Linked DNA regions of Arabidopsis thaliana. The protein of the gene in region 2 interacts with the protein of the main gene of each other region in a pairwise test. Each region holds a gene or a part of one and is shown on either strand. Other genes may lie near its edges. The genes, in order: PDH-E1 ALPHA, MAB1 and E1 ALPHA.

What was found.
Region 1: the proteins of MAB1 (region 2) and PDH-E1 ALPHA interact in a two-hybrid assay, tested with the Arabidopsis thaliana proteins (one large-scale study listed by BioGRID).
Region 3: the proteins of MAB1 (region 2) and E1 ALPHA interact in a two-hybrid assay, tested with the Arabidopsis thaliana proteins (one large-scale study listed by BioGRID).

The regions. Positions count from the first base shown.
Region 1 is NC_003070.9:44,471-53,494, reverse strand, and holds PDH-E1 ALPHA (pyruvate dehydrogenase E1 alpha), read left to right. Parts: upstream 1-4,190; 5' UTR 4,191-4,328; coding exon 4,329-4,559; intron 4,560-4,642; coding exon 4,643-5,420; intron 5,421-5,512; coding exon 5,513-5,790; 3' UTR 5,791-6,261; downstream 6,262-9,024. Other genes in the region: IQD18 (IQ-domain 18), read right to left, coding at 1-11, 312-557, 765-1,061, 1,149-1,256; AT1G01100 (60S acidic ribosomal protein family), read left to right, coding at 2,541-2,612, 2,864-3,076, 3,158-3,211; AT1G01080 (RNA-binding (RRM/RBD/RNP motifs) family protein), read left to right, coding at 6,706-7,122, 7,350-7,451, 7,541-7,849, 7,936-7,992. UniProt on the Arabidopsis thaliana protein: The pyruvate dehydrogenase complex catalyzes the overall conversion of pyruvate to acetyl-CoA and CO(2).
Region 2 is NC_003076.8:20,684,390-20,695,768, forward strand, and holds MAB1 (Transketolase family protein), read left to right. Parts: upstream 1-4,853; 5' UTR 4,854-5,141; intron 5,142-5,276; 5' UTR 5,277-5,281; coding exon 5,282-5,323; intron 5,324-5,444; coding exon 5,445-5,507; intron 5,508-6,097; coding exon 6,098-6,178; intron 6,179-6,264; coding exon 6,265-6,291; intron 6,292-6,389; coding exon 6,390-6,452; intron 6,453-6,556; coding exon 6,557-6,643; intron 6,644-6,855; coding exon 6,856-6,981; intron 6,982-7,348; coding exon 7,349-7,482; intron 7,483-7,571; coding exon 7,572-7,644; intron 7,645-7,744; coding exon 7,745-7,810; intron 7,811-7,990; coding exon 7,991-8,029; intron 8,030-8,116; coding exon 8,117-8,241; intron 8,242-8,338; coding exon 8,339-8,453; intron 8,454-8,536; coding exon 8,537-8,587; 3' UTR 8,588-9,081; downstream 9,082-11,379. Other genes in the region: AT5G50830 (nuclear polyadenylated RNA-binding protein), read left to right, coding at 1-160; AT5G50840 (alpha-taxilin-like protein), read left to right, coding at 1,514-1,805, 1,895-1,962, 2,057-2,168, 2,264-2,331, 2,430-2,507, 3,030-3,094, 3,335-3,401, 3,510-3,692 and 3 more; AT5G50860 (Protein kinase superfamily protein), read right to left, coding at 9,389-9,715, 9,977-10,103, 10,208-10,308, 10,465-10,692, 10,932-11,249. UniProt on the Arabidopsis thaliana protein: The pyruvate dehydrogenase complex catalyzes the overall conversion of pyruvate to acetyl-CoA and CO(2).
Region 3 is NC_003070.9:22,047,771-22,057,412, forward strand, and holds E1 ALPHA (pyruvate dehydrogenase complex E1 alpha subunit), read left to right. Parts: upstream 1-3,362; 5' UTR 3,363-3,597; coding exon 3,598-4,276; intron 4,277-4,362; coding exon 4,363-4,442; intron 4,443-4,809; coding exon 4,810-4,887; intron 4,888-5,287; coding exon 5,288-5,383; intron 5,384-5,487; coding exon 5,488-5,613; intron 5,614-5,689; coding exon 5,690-5,755; coding exon of another isoform or gene 5,756-5,767; exon of another isoform or gene 5,768-5,789; intron 5,790-5,845; coding exon 5,846-5,890; 3' UTR 5,891-6,115; downstream 6,116-9,642. Other genes in the region: SNL5 (SIN3-like 5), read left to right, coding at 198-706, 923-1,543, 1,626-1,714, 1,792-1,930, 2,038-2,190, 2,269-2,429, 2,518-2,632, 2,724-2,900; AT1G59910 (Actin-binding FH2 (formin homology 2) family protein), read right to left, coding at 6,397-7,717, 7,814-9,282. UniProt on the Arabidopsis thaliana protein: The pyruvate dehydrogenase complex catalyzes the overall conversion of pyruvate to acetyl-CoA and CO(2).

The DNA.
Region 1 (9,024 bases), on a different chromosome or scaffold from region 2:
CCTTCTCTTGACTACAACAAATAAATAACCATAATTCCAAAAGACGTTAGCCACCATATGAAATTACAAACGCAATTTACAATTAACAAAAACAGAATTGCTTAAAGATTGAAAAATATACAAAATATGTATACCTAAGAGTAAAGAAATAATCAAGGCACACCTATGTGAATGCACCATTTGAACTAGATAGGCATGCTAAAAACAGCTTAACCTTATGAATAAACTAAAAAGCAAAACATGTCTATAACTAAAAAACATATCAATTGATTATGCTATAGTTTAGGCAAGGCCTAGGAGGCTATACTAACCATGGATTGTCGATCTGACAAATCTTGAAGATAGCGAGATTCAAAAACAGCGTGAGAGTCACTGAACGCGGATTTGCGACTACCGTCATGAGACAAGCGTTTGCGTTGGTCAAGCACACGAGACTGGACTCGAACCAGAGCTTGCATACACCTTAATGTCATTTTAGCTTGCTTTCTCACATTATGTCCCCTCACCAATGCTTGTAGCTTCACTAACCCTTTTAATGCTCTTAATGCTCTTCTTGCCTTACCAAATTAGAAAGAACAAAACTTATATCAAGACCCAAAAAAAAATTATCTAAATGAAATCCCAATCTTTTAAATGGTAGATCTTGTATAAGCAATGTTAATTTTATAGACATAGACACACATCATTGTCACTAAAAAGTGGTCTAGAAGTCAAGTTGGTTAAAAAAATGAAAGTAAAAATATAGGTCATTAATAATTGCTCACCAAATATCCTCTGAAAGAAGTCTGGATGACAACAGCAGCGTAATTTTCTCTTGCGTAATAAATCCGCCTCGGTGCGAGTGTCTTAGATGCTGACGTGGCGATGGGGACTACGGCGGACGGGGGTTTACCGGCGTTGGATGGCGGCGTCGTAGTTGCGTAACTCGGTGCTGTCTCCGGAGAGGGTTTTGAGTTTACGTTAAGTGAATCTTCCTGAGGTGCTGGTGGAGAGATACCGGAAGACTTCACCGGAGATTCTTGAGTCGCCGGTTTTCTAAACCACCGTCTCTTCTCTCTCTTCTTTTTTTAAAAAAACAGAGAAAAATGAAAACCAATAATCATACTTTGAATATAGTAAGCAAATAATAAGATCTAAGAATAAGAAACCTTTTCTTCATCTTCTTCGACGTCATTACTATGATCTTTCTTCGTCGGAGATCGGAAAGCTCGCTTTACAGCGGTGAGCCAAGAAGAAGAGCCGTTCTTTTTCCCCATGTGTAATGTGTTTAATTACTTTTGGTCTCAACAAATTATTACCACTCTATTGTCTTTATGTATCGGTGTTCCGTGAAGTTGAGATTTAGGTATTTAGCTGTAGATTTTTTTTTCAGAAATAAGGAGTGAGAGAGAAACAGAAAGTACAGATAACCTTTGGTTGCTTTGTAAGAAGTTGCTCTGAGTCTGACCACCTCTTTTACTGCAACCACGACACCAATAACTGTGTTTCTTTCTCTTTAATAAATTTTATCTTTTCACCAAATACATAGTATTATTAATTTATTTTGTTGGCATCGATATTAACATGAATATATTCGTTTTTGGGTCCATATTGATTATATACCGTGCGGGACAATATACGTAGACTAGATAAGGAGAGAGATTGCACGTTGTTTTAGCTCCATAATCTACATTTTTATTTATTTTTTTTCTGTTATTCTACTAAATGCCAATATTTGGCTTAGCGCATGCGTAATTTTTACTACTATTATATAAAGTTGGTTGGAATGGTAGTAGGATGAACAAGTATTTATCGAGATTCTAAACAAATTGTATAAATCATTTTTTTTATTAATTGACAAATATAATCAAACTTGGTGTCTACAACTACATGATTTTGTGAAGTTTGGGGTTAAAGAACTAATCAAACTCGTGATTTTTGGACCAAGACGAATGTACAAGAAAAAATGAAAATATATTGGATCGCATATGATATGTTTATTGAAGACTATAAATATGTCAAATGAAGAATTATGTTACTAGTGCGAAAAGGACATCCATCAAGTATTGCTTGACCAAGCTCGTGCTGTCACATGCATGATGGACCACGGTGGTCGTTCCCTAGAAACCAACCAACAATTTCTGGTCAAAGTCAAATCTCTTAATTTGGGCTCTTATCTTTTATTTATTCACGGCTATTAGGTTTGAAGGCCCAATACTGAAAACAAATATATGTAAAATTAAAAAATGGGCCTAGCGAATATTTATGCGGCCCATCAAATAATTGGATAAAAGCTTTATAAACTCTGCATCTCCCGTCTCCGCATCCAAACCCTAGAAATTTTGTCTCTCTCGCCGCCTTGCGAAAAGCATTTTCGATCTTACTCTTAGGTAGTCTATGATTCTCCATTTGATCCGTTTATACTTGTTATTGGCATTTCATCATCGTCTGGGTTGTTCGACTTACTCTAATTTTGGTTTAAAACGGATTTAAAGTTTGTTTTTTTGTGAATAAGCAATTAATCTATTGTTACTGTTTTTGAATCGTTTCAGGATAAAAAAATGTCGACAGTTGGAGAGCTTGCTTGCAGCTACGCTGTTATGATCCTCGAGGACGAGGGTATCGCTATCACGGTATCTTTCCTTTGACTCCTGCTTGTCTATTTCTAAATCTTGATTGGTCTCTTTGCTTTAGTCAGTAGGGTTTTGGAACCGTTTCTTTTGACTTGATAGTTAGAAACTTAGTGAAAATGATTCTTATGGAGTGATAAGGATTTGGTATAGTATTATTTGGTCAGGAATTGAACAAGTATTTTATGTATCTGTCTAAATGTGTTTTGAATTGGGTAAAGATCTTTACTTGTGTTTGTTTATGTCGTTGATAGGCTGACAAAATCGCGACCTTGGTGAAAGCTGCTGGTGTTAGTATTGAGTCATACTGGCCAATGCTATTCGCCAAGATGGCTGAGAAACGTAACGTGACTGATCTCATCATGAACGTTGGTGCTGGTGGTGGAGGTGGTGCTCCGGTTGCAGCTGCTGCTCCAGCTGCTGGCGGTGGTGCGGCAGCTGCTCCTGCTGCTGAGGAGAAGAAGAAGGTAAATGAAATAGCAACGATAGACGAAATCATTCTTCTAACTAATAAGTGATATAAAATTGATCTCATTTTGGTATTGCAGGATGAGCCAGCAGAAGAGAGTGACGGAGATTTGGGTTTCGGTTTGTTTGACTAAACGCAGTCACTTGTCTTTCTTCTTTGTAGTTGGATATTGGAGACTATATTTTGTCGTATGAGTTATTATTACTTGTTTGATCTGGCTAAAGGACTATTAGTTGGTTTATGATGCGTATGTTGTATAACTCAAGTTTCCTAGCAAACCAATCGGCTCGGGCTTTTGTTAGAATTGATTTTGTTTATTTTCTACCAAGTCTTCGTTCATCAAATATAGGTCTTTAATTTCGAAAACGTCAAACCATAAATGTTAAATCCGGTCATACAATATTTAGAATTGTCATCAAATATAGGTCTTTAATAAAATTGGCTTTTGCAGTAATGTTAGGCCGGCCCAATGCCTTTATTATCGGAACATGTTAGTGTTTGTTCTTCTTCTTACCCAGCAGCGTCTTCATAACATTTGTACGTCTATTGTCATACATTCCATTTGATGAAATTGAGATAAGGATAAATACGATAAAAAAGTAATGGGATTTTTCGTAAGAGAAATAGGAAAACCAAAAAATGTTGTTTAGAGGATTAAATATGTTTCATAATAATTTAGTAGTAACGGTAGGAATTAGGTTTTAAATTCAATTTTCTTTCTTTTAGAGTCAAAAGTAGTTGCATCTATAGCTCTACCTGATAACAAAAGATTTATGGGATTATATACAAATCTTAAAGAAAACGGATCTATTCTTAAAACTCAATTGAAAAGCCATATTTCTAAATGGTTAGAATTTTATGGTTATTCACCTGAATTTGTTCAGATCATTTTGTTAATTTGATGATTCCACTATTGATTAACCAATTCGAGTTAAAGAAGAAAATAAATTATGTTGAGCATACTTAACAAGGATTATATTTGTAGATCGGATCTTGAAATTAAGAGATGAAATGAAAAGAAAGAAAAAAACATTGGTGTTAACGAAGAAGGGTGGGTCCAAAATTGATTAAATATTTTTCGAACAAACAAATAAAAATATATATAAGTATTTAGAGCCGGGATCGTCTGCCTCCTCTGCCTCTCATCTCTTGTTCTCTCCGCCCATCTCTGCTCTCTTTTATTTTCCCAGAAAGTTTTTTTTTTTTTTTTCCGAATTCCGTTAATCTCATTGGGGTTTCCATTGATAGCAATGGCGACGGCTTTCGCTCCCACTAAGCTCACTGCCACGGTTCCTCTGCATGGATCCCATGAGAATCGTCTCTTGCTCCCGATCCGATTGGCTCCTCCTTCTTCTTTCCTCGGATCCACCCGTTCCCTCTCCCTTCGCAGACTCAATCACTCCAACGCCACCCGTCGATCTCCCGTCGTCTCTGTCCAGGAAGTTGTCAAGGAGAAGCAATCCACCAATAATACCAGCCTGGTACGCTTCCTCTCCTCGTCTCCTTCTTTTGGAATTTTACAAGTTGTGAGATTTGTTGTATTGATTTAAGTAATTTGAAATAGTTGATAACCAAAGAGGAAGGATTGGAGTTGTATGAAGATATGATACTAGGTAGATCTTTCGAAGACATGTGTGCTCAAATGTATTACCGAGGCAAGATGTTTGGTTTTGTTCACTTGTACAATGGCCAAGAGGCTGTTTCTACTGGCTTTATCAAGCTCCTTACCAAGTCTGACTCTGTCGTTAGTACCTACCGTGACCATGTCCATGCCCTCAGCAAAGGTGTCTCTGCTCGTGCTGTTATGAGCGAGCTCTTCGGCAAGGTTACTGGATGCTGCAGAGGCCAAGGTGGATCCATGCACATGTTCTCCAAAGAACACAACATGCTTGGTGGCTTTGCTTTTATTGGTGAAGGCATTCCTGTCGCCACTGGTGCTGCCTTTAGCTCCAAGTACAGGAGGGAAGTCTTGAAACAGGATTGTGATGATGTCACTGTCGCCTTTTTCGGAGATGGAACTTGTAACAACGGACAGTTCTTCGAGTGTCTCAACATGGCTGCTCTCTATAAACTGCCTATTATCTTTGTTGTCGAGAATAACTTGTGGGCCATTGGGATGTCTCACTTGAGAGCCACTTCTGACCCCGAGATTTGGAAGAAAGGTCCTGCATTTGGGATGCCTGGTGTTCATGTTGACGGTATGGATGTCTTGAAGGTCAGGGAAGTCGCTAAAGAAGCTGTCACTAGAGCTAGAAGAGGAGAAGGTCCAACCTTGGTTGAATGTGAGACTTATAGATTCAGAGGACACTCCTTGGCTGATCCCGATGAGCTCCGTGATGCTGGTAAATATCGACTTCCTTCTGCTTCTTGATGCTTGTACTGATTATCTAAGGGTTGAAACAACCTTCTCTTTAATTTGAATTTTTTTTTGCAGCTGAGAAAGCCAAATACGCGGCTAGAGACCCAATCGCAGCATTGAAGAAGTATTTGATAGAGAACAAGCTTGCAAAGGAAGCAGAGCTAAAGTCAATAGAGAAAAAGATAGACGAGTTGGTGGAGGAAGCGGTTGAGTTTGCAGACGCTAGTCCACAGCCCGGTCGCAGTCAGTTGCTAGAGAATGTGTTTGCTGATCCAAAAGGATTTGGAATTGGACCTGATGGACGGTACAGATGTGAGGACCCCAAGTTTACCGAAGGCACAGCTCAAGTCTGAGAAGACAAGTTTAACCATAAGCTGTCTACTGTCTCTTCGATGTTTCTATATATCTTATTAAGTTAAATGCTACAGAGAATCAGTTTGAATCATTTGCACTTTTTGCTTTTTGTTTGGTGTTACTAAACTATCACAAGGTTCTTCTTGTAGTTCGTTGGGTTTTCATTGGTTACCACTTACCAGAGAATTGTATTTTTTTTTTTAAAGATAATTATTTTGCAACCTCGGGTGATTACACTCTAAACAAGATGGGCTCTGCAACAGGAGCCAGTACCACCAATTACACACAATCTCGTATAAGAACAATACATGCCAATACAGCTTCCACAGCACAGAAAACTCTTTTCCTCTTTGCTTCATCTCTGCATAGCTTGCTTATAATATAGCTTTAAACCTCAAGATTTGCAGACTTCTTCATAGTAAGATCAAAGAAGACAGTGTTGTGGTTTGCATAACGATCATTTGGGTCAAAATATAGCTTCAAACCTCTGAGGGAGTTCAAACATAGCAGATTCTATCACTACCACCTTCCCTCAGAGCCAAGGAGTTGTAGATGTAGTGGTCAGAATGAAGATTGAGGATGAATGGGCCATTAGACAAGATTGCACTGGTTCTAATTTCATGGCTCCTACTTTCTTTGTAATTAAAGTGTTTGGTAAAGGGAATAAGAGACTTGAAGAAATGAAAATGTTTGAATAATTTTTTATTTTTTGATTTATAACTTTGGGCCTTTTGTTTATTTCATGAAAAACAAAACCTGCTACGCGAAAGAGAGTGTCTCATCTGACGTAGCGAATACCGAGCAGGATTGTAACGGGTTAAATGACCCGACCCGATTTGTTCTATTAATTTCTATTTCATTTCTTTTTTTTTTAATCATTCTTCTCAAATAATTTACTTTCTGGTCCTTCGATAATGGCGGCCTCCTGCTTCGCAATTCCCTTATCTTCTTCTTCTCGATCGTCTCACAATGCAATTCCCAAATACAAAACCCTAATCTCTTCTTCTTCTTACTCTTACTTAGAATCTCTGAAACTTCAATTCTCTTCTTCCAATTCTTTTCATCACTCTTCTCTTTCTCGTCCCTTTGTAGCTCAACCACTTCAAATCAAGGTCTCTTCTTCAGAATTATCAGTTCTCGATGAAGAAAAAGAAGAAGAAGTAGTTAAAGGAGAAGCAGAACCCAATAAAGATAGTGTCGTCTCCAAAGCAGAACCAGTAAAGAAACCGAGACCTTGCGAGCTCTACGTGTGTAATATCCCTAGAAGCTACGACATTGCTCAGCTTCTTGACATGTTTCAGCCTTTTGGAACTGTAATCTCTGTAGAGGTGGTACTTCTTATCCAGATTTGATTGATCCTACAATGCCTTTATGAAAATTCAAAGTTTTACTCTTTCAACTTAGCTTTGAAAATTCAAAGATCATCCACAATGTAATTTGAAAATACTTAGCTTTGAGTTCCATCAAGACGAATCAAACGTACTGGTTACTCTTTTGAGTATATGGATGATTGACAAGTATAGTGAGAGGTGTGCATTGCTTGGAAATGATGTTGCAGGTATCGCGAAATCCTCAGACGGGAGAGAGCCGTGGAAGCGGGTACGTGACAATGGGTTCTATAAACTCTGCCAAAATCGCCATTGCTTCTCTTGATGGAACAGTAAGAGCCCGGGAAACCAAAAAACAAGTCTATCTTTCTTCTGGTTGAGTGTAAAGTTGAGTGCTTTGGTTTTGTTGCTATATATGAAGGAAGTAGGTGGTCGGGAAATGCGGGTTAGGTACTCTGTTGACATGAATCCAGGAACAAGAAGAAACCCTGAAGTCTTGAACTCAACTCCAAAGAAGATTCTGATGTACGAAAGCCAACACAAGGTCTATGTCGGAAATCTCCCTTGGTTCACACAGCCTGATGGTTTGAGAAACCACTTTAGCAAGTTTGGCACAATCGTAAGCACGAGAGTGTTACATGATCGTAAGACCGGGAGAAACAGAGTCTTTGCCTTTCTTTCTTTTACAAGCGGTGAAGAACGTGATGCGGCTTTATCATTCAATGGAACAGTTAAGTTCGTTATCCATAAAAAGAATCTTGCTTGAGGAAACTTCTTCTACTGCTCTCTGGCTTTATCACAATCTCTCTTTTGCAGCAATATGAAGGTCGCAGAATCATCGTCAGAGAAGGTATCGAGAAGAGTGAGTCGTAAACCAACTGTTCTGCTTTTGCTGCAAAGACATCTCTTGGACACAAACAATGTGTAATGAATGTCTTCTGATTTCTTCGACAAGTAACCTTTACATATTATATCCTTCTCGATTTTGTTTATCACCCATTATATCTACCTGTATAATTCTCTTTTCGATCTTCTTCTTCGATTCATCTACTCTACAAATGAAAGATAATCGTCAAACCTCCCCAACTGTCGTCTCACTCTAACATTTTGCCAAACACTTGGTGTGCATGCAATACTCAGGTTCCAAATAAAGAAAACAGAACCATTAGCATCTTCATTTTGTAAGGCTTAACTCCGAGGATCCGATTCGGAGACCCGAATAAGGATTTAGGATCCACACACGACTTTCGTCACTCTCCGATTCCATTCCCCGTTGGAGAAGATCAACCAACTAGGGTTTTAAATCTCGGGAGGAGACTGAAAAAGGCCATAAATGATAAATGGGCTTTATATTTGTTTAGGCCCAGTGAAATGATTTCAAGTGGGCCCATCTGATAACTACCTCCTTTTACCTTCTTACACCAGAAATCACACAAACCCTAGTGTGATTCAGTCCAGAAAATACAAACTTTTTCAATTAATTATATCACTAAATTTGTTTTAAGATATTGATCTTTAGAGCATGTTCATAGGTGATACTCACAAAATATCATCAAGAATATTTTTTAGTATTATTTATAATGTTTGTTTAATAAATATATATAATATTTTTTGCTTTTGTCAAATGTAACCAATCAGAAGAAGCCACGTCAGATGATACTGGTATCACAAATATCAGTGGGCTGATACTGATAAGCATATTCTAATTGCTTTACTAATATAAAAATAATTTTTGTACTTGTGATAATCTAAAAATATCACCCATGTACATGGTTTTATAACTATTTCTTGATTGCAACATTCACTATGGGCTATTAATGCCATTAAAACCGGTTCATTGCTGAATTTATTGGCCCAAACCCTAAAACGCAGCTTAAACTTGTTAGCCAGCCTTTAAACTCTGAA
Region 2 (11,379 bases):
AAGCATTGTCAAAAAGGAGAAAAAAGAAAGAAGAGGAAAGAGGTTCGGAATCGCATTGCCGAGGAAGTATTTAGCAAATGTGACTGCGCCGTGCTATGCAGGTGGAGGATGCATGGGAAACACTCATTCTCGTTTGGTGCAAGAGAAATCGAGCCAGTGATCGATCAAAATATGTTTGCCATCTTTGCATTGACTGATTTGTTGAAGTAAGAATGGTGTGGTGTACGTACGGGATCACGATGAATAATCAAAACCACCTTACGATTTTAGACCTTTGATTTGTTTTAAGAGACGCTTGTTTCAGAATTTGTACAACCTCTTCTTCTTCACCTTTGCTTTCTTTGATCAGGATAATTAAGTTAGTGTTTGACGAATTTACTTTTTTCCACGTGGAAAGATGTAATTAATTGAACTTGTGCAATAAAAAAAGTGTTGTCTAAATGTCAAATTTATTGTTACATTAACCAATGAAAATAAAATTAGAGTAACATATAGGAAACTGCAATTATAGAAGAAAAAACACACTAAAAGGTGTAAGTAATTGAACTTTGTGAATTCCGTTTGTTTTCGGAATGCACAAGTGTTAGTCATAATAGGAAAGATAAAAATCTTAATTACAAATCCTAAAATACAATTTTTAATTTATTTTTTAGAGTTTATATTAATATGTCGTCAAAAACGGTATATTATTCAGAACAAAATTATCGTTGACCATTAGTTAATTAATAACCAAGTTCAAATTTGATAATTTGAAAGTTTATTTAGACAAAATTAATTAGTTGAAAGTTTTATCAATGATGGCCTCTTAAATTTTTAACTTTTTTTTGTTGAGTTTTATAAAAAAGAAAAAATGGTTTTCAAACTAAATTTGTTTATGATCATGTTTATCCGAGTTAAGCCCAATTTGAGATCTTTGTCAGTAATGACTAAGAGTACCTCCCGCATATAGAATTCATGTAGTTTCTAAAACATATATATATTTTTTTAACTTTTAAATATATATATTTTTTTAATTGTATGAGTTTCTACTAAAAAATTACTATTGAAGTTGGTCTAAGTTGCGAGACCAAATTTTTATATGCTTTCGGTTCGAATTGACATTTCTCTGTGTAAACGAAGCATCAATAAGAATTTATCAAACTTGAATGTAACACCATTTCTTTAGTTGATCATTTCCAAACATTTATTAATCAAATAAAATTGAATTTCAAAGTCACGTGATAATGATGATACTCAAATTTAAAAAACCAATAACACTTTATTTCAACATTTCTATGAAGAAATCAATTATTAACACTTAAAGTTATTAATTGAATAACAACGAACAACATTTAATTTAGTCAAAATTAGATTTTTTTTTTCTTTTTTTTGGTTTTATTGTTAAGATTTTATACCAAATAAAATTTTACAAACGAATCTAAAAGAAAGAACAAATTTAAACTTACCTATCAGAATTGTTGTAAGATATTTGGGTTTTCTTCGTATTAGGTTTCATCAGATCCAGACTCAAAAAATGGAGTCACCGCACTCGAATTTGCTCCCTGAAGTCGATTCTTTACCCGATGGATTCGTCGACGGCGCAACAGAGCCGCCTCTCAATTCTCCCAAGACCCAGGAAGAAACAACAAACCATGAAACTGTTGCGATCGAGAAAACAGAGAAGCCAAGAACTTTTCCGGTTCCGTTGTGTGAAACTGATGGTAATGAAGATGACGAAGTAGCTGACCTAATTCAAGAATCAATCAAGCTTGAGTTAGAGTTCGAGCAGAAAGAAAAAGAAGCTTCTCCTCCTATTTCTCAAACATGTGAGTGAAAATGTGAAGCTTAATTTCTTTATAGGAATTTGCTTCTTTTGTAACCTAAAGTTTGTTTCTTTGCTTTTTGTTTGAGTTAGTGTCAGAAGGGTCAACTCAAAATTCAACCTTGTCTAAGGAAATGGATTCACTCAAACCCAAAAAACAAGTCAGTATTTTGATGAGTTCTTCAATCTTGTTGCTTTGAGAAGAATATATGTTGAAGATGATGTATCTGATTTGTGTGCTGATGATATTGAAAGCAGGAGGTGGTTGAGAGCAAGCGTAAGGGTTCAAAGAATATGTTCAAATCAGAGAAAGAGTTTTTGGAATTTATGCTCAAGTATCAGCAAGTCCTTTCTGAAAGAGATTCTGGTAATAGGATATCAATAAAACCAAACTAGTTTTGTGTTACCTTCATCGTTTAATGCTTTATAGTCTGTACTCATCATTATTGTTTTTAACCGTAGCTATTACTGTTCGTGACAAGCTTGAATCACTTTGTAGAGAGTTACAACGTCAGAACAAAATGTTAATGGTTTGTTCTTTCTTTCTTCTTGCTTACTCTACTTGGTGTGTCTTGTTTTGAGGAACTAACCTTTTGGTGTGTAAACTAAATGTTCCTTTGTATAACAGGAAGAATGCAAGAGGGTTTCAACTGAGGGACAGACTTTAAGATCGGATTTATCGACAAAGTTCCAGGATGCTATAATGGTAAGTTGAACACATTTTTCTTTCGATGTGAATTCTTCCCAGGGTTTTGATCTTTGCTGAATATAGAAATTTGAGCCATTTTGCCGTCGGTATTGGCAGTTTTAGAGAGGAACAAGTATTGGATAATAGCTTTGTTTTGTGTTTCTAAGTATGCAAATCTTAAATGCACATCATTTATTGATCCTTGTTATATTTTCTTAGGATATTATCTCCTTTAATCTTCCGTGCTATATGCTTTGGACAGTCATGGCAATATCTTTTTCTTCTTTCTGAAACTCTCTACACTGACATTGGCAAATGTTAGTACCGATCTACACTAAAATTTAGTCCTTGGAAATAATTGGAACTAAACAAAGTAGAAAATTGTCCATATTGGTTTCAAGTTACAGATTGATAGAACTAAGTTTGATGAATTGCTTGCAGGCTTTTGCAACATCAAAAACTTACAAAAACAAAATCAGAATTTATTTGATTGATTTTTTTCTTATGCTCTCTACCTTCCTAATCCTCTTTTGTTTATAGGATGTGAGCATTAAGTTGGACGAGCAAAAGAATGAAAGCCTCACGCAACTCAAAGAAAATGAGATGTAAGCGGAAAGAACTCAATCATAACATGTTCATTTGGAGTAGGAAAATTATAGTATGTTTATTATATATGTATAGTTTTGTTGCAGTTTAAGTTAATACAGTATGAATATGCTCGCCCACATTCTGGAAACTATATTCTTACATGTGTATTGCTTTTAAAACGGCTTTGCTTGTATCAGCTCAGTAACATATTATAAAGGTCCATTCTAATTACAATGGGTTTGTTTCTTAATCTCCAGGTTAAGGACGAAGTTGAAGCACCTGGCTGATCAATTTATGCTTTCAGAACAACAACATGAGCAAAGGGTAATTAAATTATTCGTTTTTTCCAACTATATATGAAGCATGATTTAGCCAAAATAATTGGCTTAACTGCGATGTCTACTTGACAACATCTCATTTTCGAATGGACAGTTGAAGCAGAAAACACTTGAGCTACAGATCTCTGCTTTAAAAATTAAACAGCACGAGGAGAAACTCATCCATGAACAATCTCAGATGAAAGTTTACGCAGATCAAGTTTCTCAGCTTTTGTCTACTGAGAAAAATTTGCGGTTGCAGCTGACTTCTGATGGAGATAAATTCCAGCAGTTCCAGGTCTGCTCTCTTCCCCTTTTACACTTCCTAAATAAGTCTTAATCGTTTTCTCGATGCACTGTGATCACAGATAATAAGATTGCTTGCTTTGGGTGTGATACAATACTCTCTTAAGATATGTTTTTTACTGATATTATATGAAAAGACTGTAAAGTGAAAGGCTGTTTGGTTATGCAGGACGCGTTGGTTAAGAGCAATGAGGTGTTTGAAACATTCAAACAAGAAATCGATAAGGTAATAACAGTTTTATACCTTCGAGGTTCTTTGAAAGATCATAAGTGCTATTTATGTGATCTTATTAACTTGATCCTGTCTCTATTGGTTTTTTGAGTAGATGTCAAAAGCAATCAAAGAACTCAGAAAAGAAAACGCATTCTTGAAAAACAAAACTGAGAAGTCGGATATCACTCTCATAGAACTCGTCGAAGAGGTAAAACAAAACCGTCTGTTCTCTCACTATCTTTAAGGGTTTGTAGATTTTGGTTATGAAACCAGTAAAATCACACTTTTGGTTGACCTTGAACAGCGTGAAAGATTGAAGAAACTGTTGGAGAAGACAAAGAAACAGAAAGACAAGCTTGAATCACTTTGCAGATCCCTTCAAGCTGAAAGAAAACAGAAAGAAACTAACAGTACTGATTCTGCTGTTCAACCATGAAACAGAGAGAGACTATGAATTCAGTGTTTTGCTCTCTTTTTTTCTTTGTCAGAGTTTTGAACTAATTAGCACTTCAGATTACAAAACTACAATTAGACTCCAAATTCACTTTAAAATGTAGAAACATATCACATCATATTGATTCTGCTCTTTTGCGAGCTAAGTCCATTTTATCTCACAAAATGCAAATTGATAATAGTTAATTCAGCTGCAGCTTCTGCAAATCTCCAGGTTCACAAGAGAATGATTCTGCATTCACTAAGTTCACAACCGATTTGGAGAAGAATAGCTACTTCAACATCTGCCATAATGACCAGCTGATTCTTTGCAATCTTAAACCAAACCGAACCGAACCATTTGAACCGAAGAAAAGTTAAACCGATATGGATTATGATTCGGTTTGCATCTTTATGGATTCGGTTAGTTAAAAAAAGCGAATCTCTCTGAATTAAAATAAGTATAACGTCAAATTAAATTTGGTCACATCCACTTTCCTTTACAAACTTCAACAACATCAAATGGAATAATATAATATTGGAAAAGAAAAAGTATATAACGAAATGTCAACCATCGATCATGACCAGCAGATATTAATCGGACGGCTCCTGTACAATTCGATGAAGAAGACCTACTCTCTCATTTATTCAGCTAATTGAAATCATTTCGTTGTGTTTTAGAACAACAACAAAAAAACAGTGCCCTTTCGCTCACGCTTTGAGTCGTATCTGCTCTCTTCTTAATCCGCCGTCTCTCACTTTTTCGCCGGCGTGGTTAGATCGTACAAAGCTCAGGTAATCAAATCTATCTCCGATGTTGATCTACTCTGTTTCTCCGGATTTATGATTTCTCTATTCAATTTCCGATGATTGTTAGATCTACGGGGCTTTTGATCCTGCGATTACTGTTGCTTTTTGTTTGTTAATCAGAGAGAATGTTGGGAATCTTGAGGCAAAGAGCCATCGATGGAGCTTCGGTATGAGACTTTTTTACTCCTTTTATTTGTTTCAGTGCGATTACGATTTTGAGATTTTTACTTGGGAGATTTTTAGGTTCGGATTTTGTTTTCTGATTTTCGAAATTTGGTTTTTGATCAGACTCTTAGGAGGACGCGATTCGCATTGGTTTCTGCTAGGAGCTATGCAGCTGGTGCAAAAGAGGTAAAATGTCTTTTATTGAATTTTCGGATGGTTTAGAAGCGTTATTATACAGGTTTGGTTTTAATGAGCTATTGGAAGATAATTGTGGTCAATTTAGGATGATTAGAGCTGTTAATGTCTGCCAAACCACTTTTCTACTCTAAACTTTTTCTTTGGATGATAGCTTAATGTTGTCTTCTGCAAACTATGTCGATTACTTTTTTTTTTGTGTTCACCGAAATGTCGAGTTTAGCTATATTGGATGTTTTTTGATTTTGTAAACTGTGAGCATCCAAGAAGCGCAAGGGTCGATAATCATTGCATAGATGTTTAAGCCTATTAGCTTTCTCTCATTAGTTCTGACATTGAAAATGGTGGATTGATAGCTGACTCACATAAATAGTGTAGTGACATTTAGAATCCCAACAAGTGTAGCTTAAGTTAGATTTTAATTTACGTTTCGAGAACCCAATTTTTTTTTCATATAGTTGATAAAGCTGATACGGCCGTCAGTCTTTGTTAATATTTGTCAAACATATTTCTCCTTGTATGTGGAATTTCCCAAAATATTGTAATATTGCTTACAATTTTTTGTGCAAATCATTGTTTAGATGACAGTCAGAGATGCTCTAAATTCTGCAATTGATGAGGAAATGTCTGCTGATCCTAAAGTATTTGTCATGGGTGAAGAGGTTAGTTGCAGCTAACATGTTTGATAAATTCATCTTGCAATTTCTAATCAGATATCAATATCTCATCTTTTATCTTGTTATTGTAGGTTGGCCAATATCAAGGTGCCTACAAGGTTAGAATTATTTGACCTGATGGAAATAGATATTTTCCAGTTAAATTTCTCTTGTTTTGACCCTGATCTGATGCTGGAGGTCTATCATGTACTCATAGATCACTAAAGGCCTTTTGGAGAAATATGGTCCTGAGAGAGTTTACGATACCCCTATTACTGAGGTTTGGAATTCTTATACTATTATCTTGTACTGCAGTCTCAATCCTTATTTCCATGTTTCTTGATTGAGAAGATTTCTGACAGTTATCGTTTAACCATGTTTTAGGCTGGATTTACTGGAATTGGAGTTGGTGCTGCCTATGCTGGCTTAAAGCCCGTTGTAGAATTTATGACGTTTAACTTCTCTATGCAGGTTAGCGTTGGTTTTTGTTATATTCTTTGAATACTACATTTTGCCTCTTTCTTTGACTTGATTATGCATAATTGTTGCGTTACTCAGATCATGCACTCTGGTGCAATATGTTTCCAGTTATCGTACACTTTATCTTCTTTCGGACATTAAAGTGCACTAAAGTTCTAATTATTTCCCAATGTGTATCCTAATATCTAGTAATCTTCTTTCAGGCAATTGATCATATCATCAATTCCGCTGCAAAGTCAAATTACATGTCTGCTGGACAGATAAATGTACCCATCGTCTTTAGAGGACCCAATGGTGCTGCTGCTGGTGTTGGAGCTCAACATTCTCAGGTAAACGCTCACCCAAAAAAAATTGAATAATTTGTTACTTTGCATTCTTTCAAAAGAGACCTTCAGCTACTAAACTGATAAAGATATTCATATAGGATGATGGAGCTGGCTTTTACTTTAACATTGATCAAATTTCCCCTAAATAATTGAGGCATTGACTGATTGATTAAGATAAAGGTTCCTATCACAGTAGCATGCAACTGTTTCTCTAAGTAAGATTACACACACATGAAACTATGACTCTGTGGGGCGTAGAATGTTTAATATGATCAGTTCAAGGATACACAAGTTATCTGTGTTTATGACTGCTTGTGGCCTTGTAACTGTATCTCGATGTTAAATGGAGCTTTTCTTCTATATCTTGTAGTGCTATGCAGCGTGGTATGCCTCAGTTCCTGGTTTGAAAGTCCTTGCTCCGTATTCAGCTGAAGATGCTCGTGGTCTTCTTAAAGCTGCCATTAGAGACCCTGACCCTGTTGTCTTCCTTGAAAACGAGTTACTGTAAGTAGTATTCCTAATTTGAGTTCTTGCATGTGATTAGAGCCTACGGTCTCATATCAGTACCTCCTTAAATTGATTTCATCATGCAGATATGGTGAATCATTCCCTATTTCAGAAGAAGCCCTTGATTCAAGTTTCTGTCTTCCCATAGGCAAAGCCAAGGTACTGTCACTCAGTATCTATTGTCTTCTTCTTATGTGTCTCTTTCATCTTTCTTCTATCTAGCAGTTGGATGCTTTAATGTTGTCTTTGCCTATAACAGATTGAACGAGAAGGAAAGGACGTAACGATAGTAACTTTCTCGAAGATGGTCGGTTTCGCCCTCAAGGTTTGCCATTTCCTCCACTTTCCTTTTAGTAATTAAAACTGAGAACGTTCTTGCTAGTTTTATGGCTATAGCTCAAATATTCCTTTTGGATGTTGTTTTGCCTCACATGCTTTGTTTTTACAAACTGGTGTTTCTCTTTGTTCCGTCTTTGAATTATTTATTTAATGTACCTGATTCTAGGCAGCTGAGAAGCTCGCAGAAGAGGGAATAAGTGCTGAGGTATGAAGATTTTTAGATTTCTCTCTTGTAAACCTGCTTAAATCTGATACGTGAACTCTGAACTTTTTTCTTTGTTAAAATGCTTAGGTAATAAATCTTCGATCAATCCGTCCGCTTGACCGAGCCACCATCAATGCTTCAGTGAGGAAAACGAGTAGATTGGTAACAGTTGAAGAAGGTTTCCCACAACATGGAGTCTGTGCAGAAATTTGGTTAACTTCAATTCCTTAATTCAATAGAGATCTTATTATCACCTGGATTGTATAATAGTTTTAAAACACGGATTAAACTTTTTCCGTAATGGATCAGTGCGTCGGTTGTAGAAGAGAGCTTTTCGTACTTGGATGCACCGGTCGAGAGGATTGCAGGAGCTGATGTTCCAATGCCGTATGCAGCTAACCTAGAGAGATTGGCTCTTCCTCAGGTTTGTTTTGTCCCTTCTTTGCATCGAAAACTTGGTTCAATTTTGTCTGTTATTAATGAATTTGAGATGAAATGATTCTGCAGATAGAGGACATCGTTCGTGCATCAAAGAGAGCTTGTTACAGATCGAAATAAAATCGTCAACATCAACACATTTCTTCTTTGATCTTTAAAGGGAAAGGAAAATAAGAAAAAAGGAGAAAAATGATCTCTCTGTCTCTCACTTTTGCTATAAGAAACCACCATTCCTCGTGATTTATTTCATCTTTTGCTATTATTCTTTACTGCAGCGGTTTTCGTTTTTCTTTTTGTCCCTTCCCAAATTGATAATTCTAATCTTTGGGGTTAATTGATAAAAATTGATCGAGAATGCTAGTAAAGGAGTTCACAACACCTGTTTTTCCATCAAATAATGAATGAGGTGTGCCTAATTCATGTCTGATATTCTTTTATTCTCGTATTATTATTTTTGAAAACGGTATTAGTGAGTTAACCTCCAATGACGTTTAGCATATACTTTTGGTGATATAATTGTAATTTGATTTAAACGCTATTGATCAACCTATGGATAAAAAAGGAAAAAGCTTTGGTGTGGAAAAAAAATGTTGATGAAAACGAATTTAAACAAGTTCCAATATTTGAAGCAGCAATCAAAATGTTTGAACATCTATTCACGACAATTTTTAGCAACACTCTTATCACAAGACCAATCTTGGAAGCCTCAAAATCCATTTCAAAAACTATACAATTTAAAAGTAGGATTCTAAAGCTACCTGAATTATGTTTTTACATCAGAGTCAAAATCACATTTTCTATTTGTGCACTCTATTCTGCTACAAAGAATTTGAACTCCTTCAACCATTCTCTCTTGAAACGGAAGCAATCTCTTATTTTGATGCACTAATATAACTCCAACTCATTTCTCAATCATCTTTCCTATCTCCGGATCCCAAAAACTTCTGATCTGCTCCTGAAAAGTAAGTCCATCGATAGCCCGAGTGCTGGAGGAGGTTTAAGTCCCCATATGTACTTTCTAGAAGAAGCCCCACGAGCCCCGTCTTTGTTTGAAATCTTTCTCATTGATGTCCCTTCCCCAGACTTTAATGATCTCGATAACCCAAAAGAAGTCTCAGTCTTTGCACCAAATACTGAGGTTTTCTTTGATAGATCTTCCAATGGGTACCCAACTGCACCGTCCTGGTGAGGAGGCGGAAACTTCTCACTCTTGCTCTTTCCATTTGTTTGTGATATCGATCTCCATCTCTGCAAACACACATTAGCAAGGGGCAATATTACAGAATCTTCTGCATTGGAACGAAAAAATACCATGCTAGATAATTGACATGTATAGCTGATCTATAAGCCTATGCATATGCATGTATTCTCAATAACTTGATGCAAGCAGTGTGACTAAAACTAGTGAATGCGTTGAGGAATATATATATATATATATGCTCATATGAAGATTGTGTGTTTATGTGCGTGTCCATGAGTATAAATGGGATAAGATGAGGATTTTCTTACATCTAAGTTTGCTTGACTCTCGGCATTAGCTTCTGGGGCTGGAATAGCTCGCCCAGTGCGATCCCCTCGATACCTTATTCTTCTAGCTCCATCAATACCACTACCTTTTCCAGCAAGACCCTTTTGCCTAGAATTACAATGAATGCAGCCACGAGAAGAGACCGATTACACATCAGTCTAATTGATAGCATAAGCATCAAGAAAACACATAAAAGATGTAAAATTAAGTACCTTCTTAACTCTTCGTCCCTCAGCTTTACATTCAGTTCTTTGGAAGGTGGATACTTTGGTAAACTTGAAGGATCACAAGGTAACGGTTCAGTAGTAAAGAACTGCACATGCAAACCAAATAATATAGCACTTTGATCAGGAAGTGCTTTTGCTTGCATAATATGTGATCACAAACTAACCAAAAAGAATGAAAAAACTCAAAATTTGAAGTTTCATACGTCAAACAATTGAAAGATTGGAGGGCAAGGATTACTCACTTCACTATTCAATGCCGAGGTAGAAGTTCCTCGATCAGCAGGGTCTATAGTGAGAAGTGTCTCAACTAGATGCACAGAGGATGGAGTGAAACCATTGAAGGCTTCAGCCACACAACGTTTGTACGGATGTTGCGGCTTAAAAAGAGTTGCGTTTGGCAGTCTGTACTTCTTCCAGTACGAATCTGAAGGGGAGCCACATAATTTGAATATCTTATGAAGTTGTTCGACCTACAAAGAACAAATTAGGTAGGAAAAACAGTAAACAACAATGTTATTAATTTTTGGTTGTACATTCATTTGTGGTCCAACATCATACAGTTGGTTTTCAAAGATAAATCACCAAGAAGTATTAATTGCTCTCTATAATGCAAGCTCAAATAACAGGGCCTACACATTTGTATCATCTAATAGAAACTAAAGATTCCTAAGCAGACTAAATAAAACAAGATAAAGACGATTTTGTTTACCTCGGTTCTTCCCGGCATAACGGGCTTGCCAGCAAGTAACTCAGCCATAATACAACCAGCACTCCAAAGATCAACACCAGTTCCATAACTGGTAGCTCCAAGAAGAAGCTCGGGAGGACGGTACCAAAGTGTGACAACACGACTAGTCATTGTTTGCTTTTGCTTTGGGTCATAAAACGTAGCCAACCCGAAATCAGCAATCTTCAGTATTCCATCATTATCTATAAGAAGATTAGAACCTTTGATATCCCGATGTAATACTCCTCGACTATGGCAATGCTCCAATCCAGATAGTAGCTGCTTCATAAAGCATTTAACCTGAAGAACAAAAACAATAACACACCATTTAGAATGATCTAGATATAATTACGACAAAAGATCAAGCTTATTTTTTAGACCTCAACTTTTGTATATTCATATACAAGTTGATATCATTGTTACTGTACTT
Region 3 (9,642 bases), on a different chromosome or scaffold from region 2:
TTTGGCTACAGTTGAAGCTCCATAGAAGATTTTGTGGATATTTCATATTAGCAATTTCTTTCTCTACAGGGAGAGTTCTTAATATAAAAGCGTCACTGATTGTTAGAAGAAAAAAATGATGAAACAAAGAGAATATCTTGTATCATTTAAGTGCAAGTTTGTGTCGACTAAAGTTGGTTGTTATGTCCCAAATGCAGGTTTAGTGGCGGAGATTAAAGATATCAGTGAGAGAAAGCATAAAGAAGACCTGCTTCGTGCCATTGCTGTTGGAACTAAGCCCTCTTTCACCCCAGATGTGGAGTTCATTTATACTGATACAAAAGTTCATACTGACCTATATAAGCTAATCAAGTATTATTGTGAGGAAATATGTGCTACTGAACAGTCGGATAAAGTAATGAAGCTATGGGTAACCTTTTTGGAGCCCATGTTTGGCGTTCCTTCTAGGTCTGAAACTATTGAGACAATGAAAGATGTTGCAAAGATCGAAGACAACCAAGAGCACCATGATGCAAGTGAGGCAGTGAAGGAAAATACATGTGACGGTTCTATGGCCTCAAACCTTAAACCGTTAACACCTCCAAAAATGCCTAACAAAGAAAACCCAATGATACAAGGAAGCTCTTTTGCGCAAGATTTGCCAGTCAACACAGGAGAAAGCATTCAGCAAGATAAACTGCATGATGTTGCAGCTATAACTAATGAGGTAACCGTATTGTTTCTTCCTGAGTACCTTTGTTCTTGACCTGAGGCCGTATTCACTTTTCACTGAGTAAATATAGTCAAAGGTTCATAAATCTGGACTAGTGGTGGTAGAGCGTATTTTACTGTTGGGCAATAAATGAAAGTTGCTTAAGTTTTCATAATATTCCTGTATGTGAAAAAAGATATTTCCTTGATATTTGTTTTTGTGGTTCTACAGGATAGCCAGCCTTCCAAACTGGTGTCAACCAGAAACGATTTGATAATGGAGGGTGTAGAGAATCGTAGTAGGGTCAGTGATGTATCAATGGGAGGGCATAAGGTCGAGCGAGAAGAGGGTGAATTATCCCCCACTGAAAGTTGCGAGCAAGAAAATTTCGAGGTTTATAAAGAGAATGGGCTCGAGCCTGTGCAGAAACTACCAGATAATGAAATAAGTAATACAGACCGAGAACCCAAAGAGGGTGCATGTGGTACTGAAGCTGTAACAAGGAGCAATGCCCTCCCTGAAGATGATGATAATAAAATAACTCAAAAGTTATCAGAAGGGGATGAAAATGCCTCGAAATTTATTGTCTCAGCAAGCAAGTTTGGTGGCCAAGTTTCTTCCGATGAAGAGCATAAAGGAGCTGAGAGTGAAAATGAGGCTGGAGGGATGGTTAATTCCAACGAGGGTGAAGATGGATCCTTTTTCACATTTTCAGAACGGTATCTGCAACCTGTAAAGCCCCTTGCAAAGCATGTGCCTGGGACACTGCAAGCAAGTGAATGCGACACCCGGAATGATTCTCGAGTTTTCTATGGGAATGATTCACTCTATGTGCTTTTTAGGCTTCATCAAGTAAGTGCTACGAAACAACCTTCTCATGTTCCTCAAATGTCAATTGTCTCAGTCCAAACCGCTAATTCTGCTGATTTTCCAGATGTTGTACGAGAGAATACAATCAGCAAAGATACATTCAGAGAGGAAATGGAAAGCTCCAGATAGCACATCTACTGATTCTTATACCAGGTGGTTTATTTTCTAAGCATCATTGGTACTTTTTAATTGAAAAAATATTATTTCCTAACTGATATTTGAAAGCTTAGGTTCATGGAAGCCCTTTACAATTTACTTGATGGCTCTAGCGACAATACAAAGTTTGAAGATGAATGTCGAGCTATTATCGGAGCACAATCATATGTTCTCTTCACATTGGACAAGCTAGTTCAAAAGTTTGTTAAGCATGTAAGCTTCCATTTTACCTTGTTATCGTCTTGACTCTGCTTCTGTTCTCTCTCCTTTATTTTTGTTTGCTCCGCACTAATCATTTAAGTGGCTTGGACATGCTTCAGCTTCACGCAGTCGCAGCTGATGAGACAGACACCAAGCTTCTGCAGCTATATGCATACGAGAACTACAGAAAACCAGGAAGATTCTTTGATATAGTGTACCATGAGAATGCTCGAGCCCTTCTCCATGATCAGAACATATACAGGATTGAATATGTATGCTTCTCTTGATATGTGTGGATACCTGTTTATATGTTCCCATATACTAATCTGTATTTGCAAATTTCTGTGCAGTCATCTGCCCAAACCCGTCTCGGAATTCAACTTATGAACAGCTGGAATGATCAGCCTGAAGTTACAGCTGTAACAGTGGAACCAGGTTTTGCTAATTATCTGCAGAATGACTTTCTTTCGTTTGTCAGTGATGAAGAGAAACCCGGACTATTTCTGAAAAGGTGAATGAAGCAATGATTAGAGCATAACCTTTTTTCGTCTTCAGTTGTGGTAGTACAGTTAGTAATCACCTTAGCATACTCTTTTCAGGAACAAGGCAAAATTAAGTGGTCCGGGTGAAGAATCTCTAGGGATGTCACGTGCCTTGGAAGGATTGAACATTATCAATGAGGTTGAATGTAAGATAGCTTGCAGTTCTTTCAAGGTAAAATACTTTCTTGTGAATCTCTTGCACTGATAATCTTTTCTCTTTTCACATGTATATATGATTGATGAGAGTTTACAATCTTCATTAGGTCAAGTATGAACCACACACAGCAGATCTTTTATATAGAAGAAAGCAGAAGAAAGCAACACTGAATCCAACTGGACCTGAAAATGTTAAAACCTCTGATAGTAGTGAACTCTCGAGAAAGAAACGAATATCGCGCTTTCACATGAGTCTTAACCGCAGACTTGTCGCCTTGCCTTAACTCAAGAACGCCGTAAGTAACCCTCTTGTCTTTTATTTGCCTGTGGTGATCAATACTGCAAATCATCAATAATCTCTAACTCACGATAAATTGTGCAGGTGTGAAGTTCTTTGCTGAGAATGAGATATGCAAGAATGAGTAGTAGTAGAGAGAGACTAGAGAATAACTGTCTTTGACAAAGATTCTTGCATCATTTTAGGCTCAAAGAGATTCACATGGCAACAACCATAGTTTTTATCTTCTACAGTCTACACTGCAGCTGGAGCCGCCAGTTTTGCTGTATAGTGTTAGAATATCTTTTTTTTTTTTAAGGATGATGCTAAAATTGGATATTTTTAATTCATTCATTGAACAATTATTGAATTTTCCTTCTAATGTTAAATTCTCTTTCAAATTAATAATCTCTTTAATCACATGTTTTATTTATTTATTTTGGTTTATCCATTTGGTTATTTATCTTTAATCACATTTGAGTTTGATTATATAATATGATTTTAAGAGAATATGAATATATATTGACTCTTTTATCACAGGTGTCACGTGACTCACGTGAGGCTGTGTACGGAAAACCTTCTTATCCTCTCAGAGTCTCTTATATTAGGATCGCTATCTACTGCTTCACTGAAATTGTCCTCTCAGTTCCTACGCGAAGTTTTCAACAGATTCGCCGGAGAATCTTCGAATCAACGGCGGAGAAATGGCTCTATCACGCCTCTCATCACGATCCAACATCATCACTCGTCCCTTCTCCGCCGCCTTCAGCCGATTAATCTCAACGGACACAACTCCGATCACAATCGAGACTTCGCTTCCTTTCACAGCTCACTTATGTGATCCACCGTCACGCTCCGTCGAATCATCGAGTCAAGAGCTTCTCGATTTCTTCAGAACCATGGCGTTGATGCGACGTATGGAAATCGCAGCCGATTCGCTTTACAAAGCGAAGCTAATCCGAGGGTTTTGTCATCTCTACGACGGCCAAGAAGCTGTAGCTATAGGCATGGAAGCTGCGATTACAAAGAAAGACGCGATTATTACTGCTTATCGTGATCACTGTATTTTCTTAGGTCGTGGTGGTTCGCTTCATGAGGTTTTCTCAGAGCTTATGGGAAGACAAGCTGGTTGTTCTAAAGGGAAAGGTGGATCTATGCACTTCTATAAGAAGGAATCGTCGTTTTACGGTGGTCATGGGATTGTTGGTGCTCAGGTTCCATTAGGTTGTGGTATTGCTTTTGCTCAGAAGTATAACAAGGAAGAGGCTGTCACATTTGCTTTGTATGGTGATGGTGCTGCGAATCAGGGACAGTTGTTTGAAGCTTTGAATATTTCTGCTCTTTGGGATTTGCCTGCAATTTTGGTCTGCGAGAACAATCACTGTAAGCATTTTTGCTTCTTTCTTTCTTTCTTTCTTTCTTTGTAGGTTTGTTTTGTCGTAGTATCTGATTGAATTTGATCTGTGCAGATGGAATGGGAACTGCTGAATGGAGAGCCGCTAAGAGTCCATCTTACTACAAGCGTGGTGATTATGTTCCTGGACTCAAGGTCAGCTTTTGAATCTTATTTGTAACAAGGATTGATGTGTGAGGCTTGTTAAGATGAGAAAGGGAAGTTTTGATTGGGTAGATGGATTAGTGTCATTTCCTGAATGATATAAGTTTCTTAGTTTCCATATAGAAACAGGTAGAATGCAAGTCTTAAGTAACTTACTACTACTCAGCTTTCATTTATAACCTCTCAGTTTAGAGATGAATGTGACTGTCTTATGGATAATGATTGTCATGAATCTTCTATTGTTAACAGAGATATGGTGTGCATCATTACCTTGTTCTTATTAGGTTTCTTGTAACCTGCATCAAGTTAGCAACTTTCTTTTGAGTTTGACCGGTTGCTGGTTTGTATGGATAAACAGGTAGATGGTATGGATGCATTTGCTGTCAAACAAGCTTGCAAATTTGCTAAGCAGCATGCGTTGGAGAAGGGGCCAATAGTAAGTTTGTATTTTAGTATTATCAGACGTTTTGTTTTTTTCCCCTTTGGTCCTTACTCATCTGGCGCATTTTGTAAATTTGCTATGAGCAATATCTAGCTGTCCTGTAGGACGTGAAGTATTAATCTTTCCTTTTGCATTTTTTAGTTGATATTTACTTCCCTTCAGTTCCTCTTTTTGGACACTGCATTCCAGTAGCTGAATATTGATGGGGTGGCTGGTTCTTTCTGTGCAGTTGCAATAGAAATTACGCTGTATCAGTGTATATCAAAGAAGTGTGTTTTTGATATCGCTGTTGTTCATATAAGTAGTAGCTTTGGTTTCCAATTTATTTTCCTGTGTTTATTCTTTCCTATCATATGGATTACAGAAGCATTAATACATCGTTTCTTCTATACAGATTCTTGAGATGGACACATACAGGTACCACGGTCACTCCATGTCTGATCCTGGGAGCACATACCGTACCCGAGATGAGATATCTGGTGTGAGGCAGGTTCGTTAGTCTCTTTACCTGAAAAATCATTTCTTGGTCGAGGACTCAGCTATTGATGAAATCTCAAAAGTCAAAACATTTATGTGCTACTCTATATGACTCAGGAACGGGATCCAATTGAGAGAATAAAGAAGCTGGTACTATCTCATGACCTAGCAACCGAGAAAGAGCTTAAGGATATGGAGAAGGAAATTAGAAAAGAAGTAGATGACGCCATTGCCAAAGCTAAGGTAAAACAACAGTTACATTACTACTTTCAAAGCGTAAACTCGAGACCCTTATGCGAAAATCTCTGTACCGTTTCAGGATTGCCCAATGCCAGAGCCTTCTGAGCTCTTTACCAATGTGTATGTGAAGGGATTTGGCACCGAGGTACTTCACTAATTAGATATTCATATTGCACCACGCCCCTTGAAACTATAGTTAATCTTTCTTATTGACCCATTTGTTTTCTGTTGGCAGTCATTTGGACCTGACAGAAAAGAAGTCAAAGCTTCCCTTCCATGATCATGGAGCTCTTGTTCGTTAAACTGCCACGTGTCATGAGAAAGTTGGCTGATAGAGAAATCTATGAATATGAATAAAGATCTGATTGTATACTCTCTCTCTCCCCCCCCTTCTGAACTTTAATCTCTCTGTATCTTTGTTTACAAACATAAGGAGAAACAATGTTATTCTTGTGAAGCTTTAGTAGTCTCGTGTTTAATATTCAAGCAATCGAGTTGAGATCTCATTTTGTGCTGCACTCCAAATAATATAACAAATTGAATTACAAACAAAGGCCAGTGGAATGGTTTCTTCTGTTTGTATTCTTCGTCTTTCCCAAAAAAAAAAAAGAATTCAACTTTGGCGTAACCAATCCATGAACCCGAAAAAAAAAAATCAACAAAACAGGTAAAATTGAAAGAACCATCTTCAAAGAACCTAATGAATATTTTTACCAACAAGCTCCCCTATCATTCTGTATATACATAATAACAAATGTAAATGATATTTTTTTGCTTTTCTGGTTATCAAGATTCTGAGTCTGAGTCACTTGAACTGCTGTACCTTGAACTCTCTGACATGAAATTTGGAGGCAGAATTGGAAATCTAACTGCGTTCCTTTGCGGTGCAGCAGCAACGCTCGGAGTTTCTGCTGGTGAACTTGATGCTCCTGCTACTGTTGTTGCAGGTCGTTGTTGCTGTTGTTTCCGTTGATTCCTTGCGATCTCACTACATGCATTATCAACCATCCCTAAGAAATCACGGATTATAACAAACAGTTGAAACAGGTTCCTCTCTTTCAATGCTCCAGCTTGGTAATAGTTTGTAGTTTTCTTCACTAACTCCATTATCCTAAGCTGTTCTTCCGTAATAACTTTCAGTTCTTCCTCCGCAGATTCAAAGAAAGATCTCAGCTTTGTTAAACACCCATCTTCCTTCCCTTTGCTTTGGTCTAAAAGACGTTTTGTTTCTTTCACTCGGGTGCCTAAAGCCAAGGTCGTAGCTACAAACGAATCATAATCAATTCCAGCCGCTTTCTTCACATTAGTGAACTCTGAACTTAAGCCACCTATAATGGGTAAACCCATCTTAATAAATTCAATCTCTTGTTCTTCTCTAGACATATCTGCATTCTCGCCACTACCATTATCACTAGACATCATGTTCTTATTCATTGCAGCTCGCTTTCCTTCAGACCTTACAACTTCTTCAACAACAAAATGAAGTAAGGTAGTTTTCGCATCAACACTCTTCACATCAGACAATTTTCTTAAAGCTGTCAGATTAAAAGCCTGAGCATTTCCCCTCGCGGTTCCAGCGTTCATTCTATTACCTGCTTTCAAGATTGCTTCTAGCAGCTTCATGAACAGCCCACGAGCACGGAGCTCGTTGCACGCGGATTCAAGTGTTAGTAAAGATCCCTTTTGTTGAGCAACCTCAGAGCCGTAGTTAATCTTGAAAAGCATAACGTTGAACCGGTTAAACGCGGAAGGAACTGCTTTTAAGATGTGAAACAGTAGAGAATCTGCATAAGCCAATGTCATCGGTTCACCATCGAAATCTATGATTTCTGTCTGTTCTTCTGGCGTTGGAGCTATTCCTGCAAGCTTCTCAAGGGTATCAGACTCAGCATCATGGCCTTCTGTTAACAAGTCAATGATCTCTTCTTTAGTCATCCCCAAAGATTTAAGCACAATTGCTTTGTTCTGAGATTTCCGAGGATCAAGGATATAAGTCTGATTATGCGGTACACTGTTTGAGACTGTCTGATTCTGCGGTACACTGTTTGATTCACTTGGTTTTCGAGCAACGTATCCAAACAAAGCCTCCATGAGATCACCATCAAAGCTACCCAAGAAACAAATATTATAACCGCATAAGAACTCAAAATCATACAGTACTTAAGAATATCACATTCCACATTATATAGACTTTAATACTTACTTGAAGGAGCCACCATCAATCTTGTGCCACACCATAGAACGGCTTGCATCAGGGTTCATCTTATCCCAATGTAAAGGCTTGAGCTTCGGCTGCGTCGGATCCTCAGTTTTGCCTACGGCCAATGAAGTCTCACCTGACTTTGTTGGTCCTTTTGGATTACCAGGGGGTTTAGGTGGGCCCTTCTTCGACATTGGAGGAGGTGGTGGCGGTCCAGCTCCTTTCTTACCTGGTGGAGGAGGTGGTGGTGGTGCAGCAGGTCCTTTTTTAGGTGGTGGTGGGGGAGGTGGAGCCGCAGCAGATGGTGGAGGTGGTGGTGGTGGTGAAGTTTGGTTTGCTGGACCAGGCGGTGCTGGTGGAGCATTTGCCGTGGTGAATTGACCCGGAGTAAGCGGTGTCGATGCTGACAATGCCGCATTACCGGGCATGTATTGACCCGGAGGAAGCGATACAGGCTGTGTGGATGTCGAAAATGGCGCATTCACCGCAGTGTATTGACCCGGAGGAAGTGGAACAGACGGTGCGGATGTAGACAATTGCGCATTCACCGCCGGGTATTGACCTGGAGGAAGCGGTGTCGATGAAGAAAATGGCGCATTTCCCGCCATGTATTGACCCGGAGGAGGCGGTGTTGATGAAGGAAATGACGCATTTCCCGCCATGTATTGACCCGGAGGAGGCTGTGTTGATGAAGGAAATGACGCATTTCCCGCCGTGAATTGACCCGGAGGAAGCGGAAGTGGCGGAGAACGGCCACCACCACTATGGATCTGCGACGGAGAAGAGGGAAATGAACCGCCGCCAGGAGCTTGAAATTTGGATTGAGATTGTTTTCCACCACCACCACCACCATAATCACTACCGGCACTTGTAGCATAGGAAGTTCGCGACGGCGAAGCAGCAGATGCAGAAGAAGAAGAAGGTCGTGACGGAGAAGCAGAAGAAGAAGTATAGTATCTTCCTCCTCCTCCTCCTCCTCCTCCTCCACCACCACCATTATTACTCTGATCTCTAATTTCACCACCTGACGATGACGCAGATTGAGATTTTTTCACATGAAACGAAAACGCCTCTTCGATAGATTCATCTCCTACTTCATCATCACCATCATCGTTATCGTCTTGATCTGCTCCAGTTCTTCTAAATCCGTCACCGGATTTGTCTCCTCTTCTTCTAGGTTTAGGGTTTTTTCTAATTTTCCCGCTATTTTCCAACTCTAGAAGCTTCTTCCAGTAAATCACATCTAATCCTTCATCATCTACAATAACAGCTTTGAGATTCCCGTCGATTCTTACAAAATCCTCCGGGAAGAGAAATCCCCAAGGAGACGGTGGTGGAGGTAAATCGGAGCCGGAGCCGCCGTATCTCTCATCTTCTTCTCTCTTCCCACCTCGATCTGAGTGACGACCACGGAGTTTTTCTTTGATCTTCCTCCGTGAACTACTACCGTTCTTACGGAAAAGAAACGACATCGCGGCGGTTACTTTACCGGAGAATTTATCGGCGTTGACGGAGATAAGAGTCACGCGGCGAAATCAGAACGTTCTGATGTATTTTTGACAACGAAGAAGAAATGTGTTGGGAATGATTTTTGATGAACATGACAACCATTAATGATTTAACACATTAATGATTTGGTTTTTATGTTTTCCTCTCTTATTTTTTGGTAAAGCAACAAAAATAAAAATTAAGCTTTTCTTACATGAGATATGGTCCAATGTCAAAAGCGTGGCTAATGTTACGAAAACAACCTCCATTTACTCGGCATTGACACGTGAAACGACAAGGGCGTTTTCGTCATTTTGATTATTCCGACGCGTTGACCAGGTCGT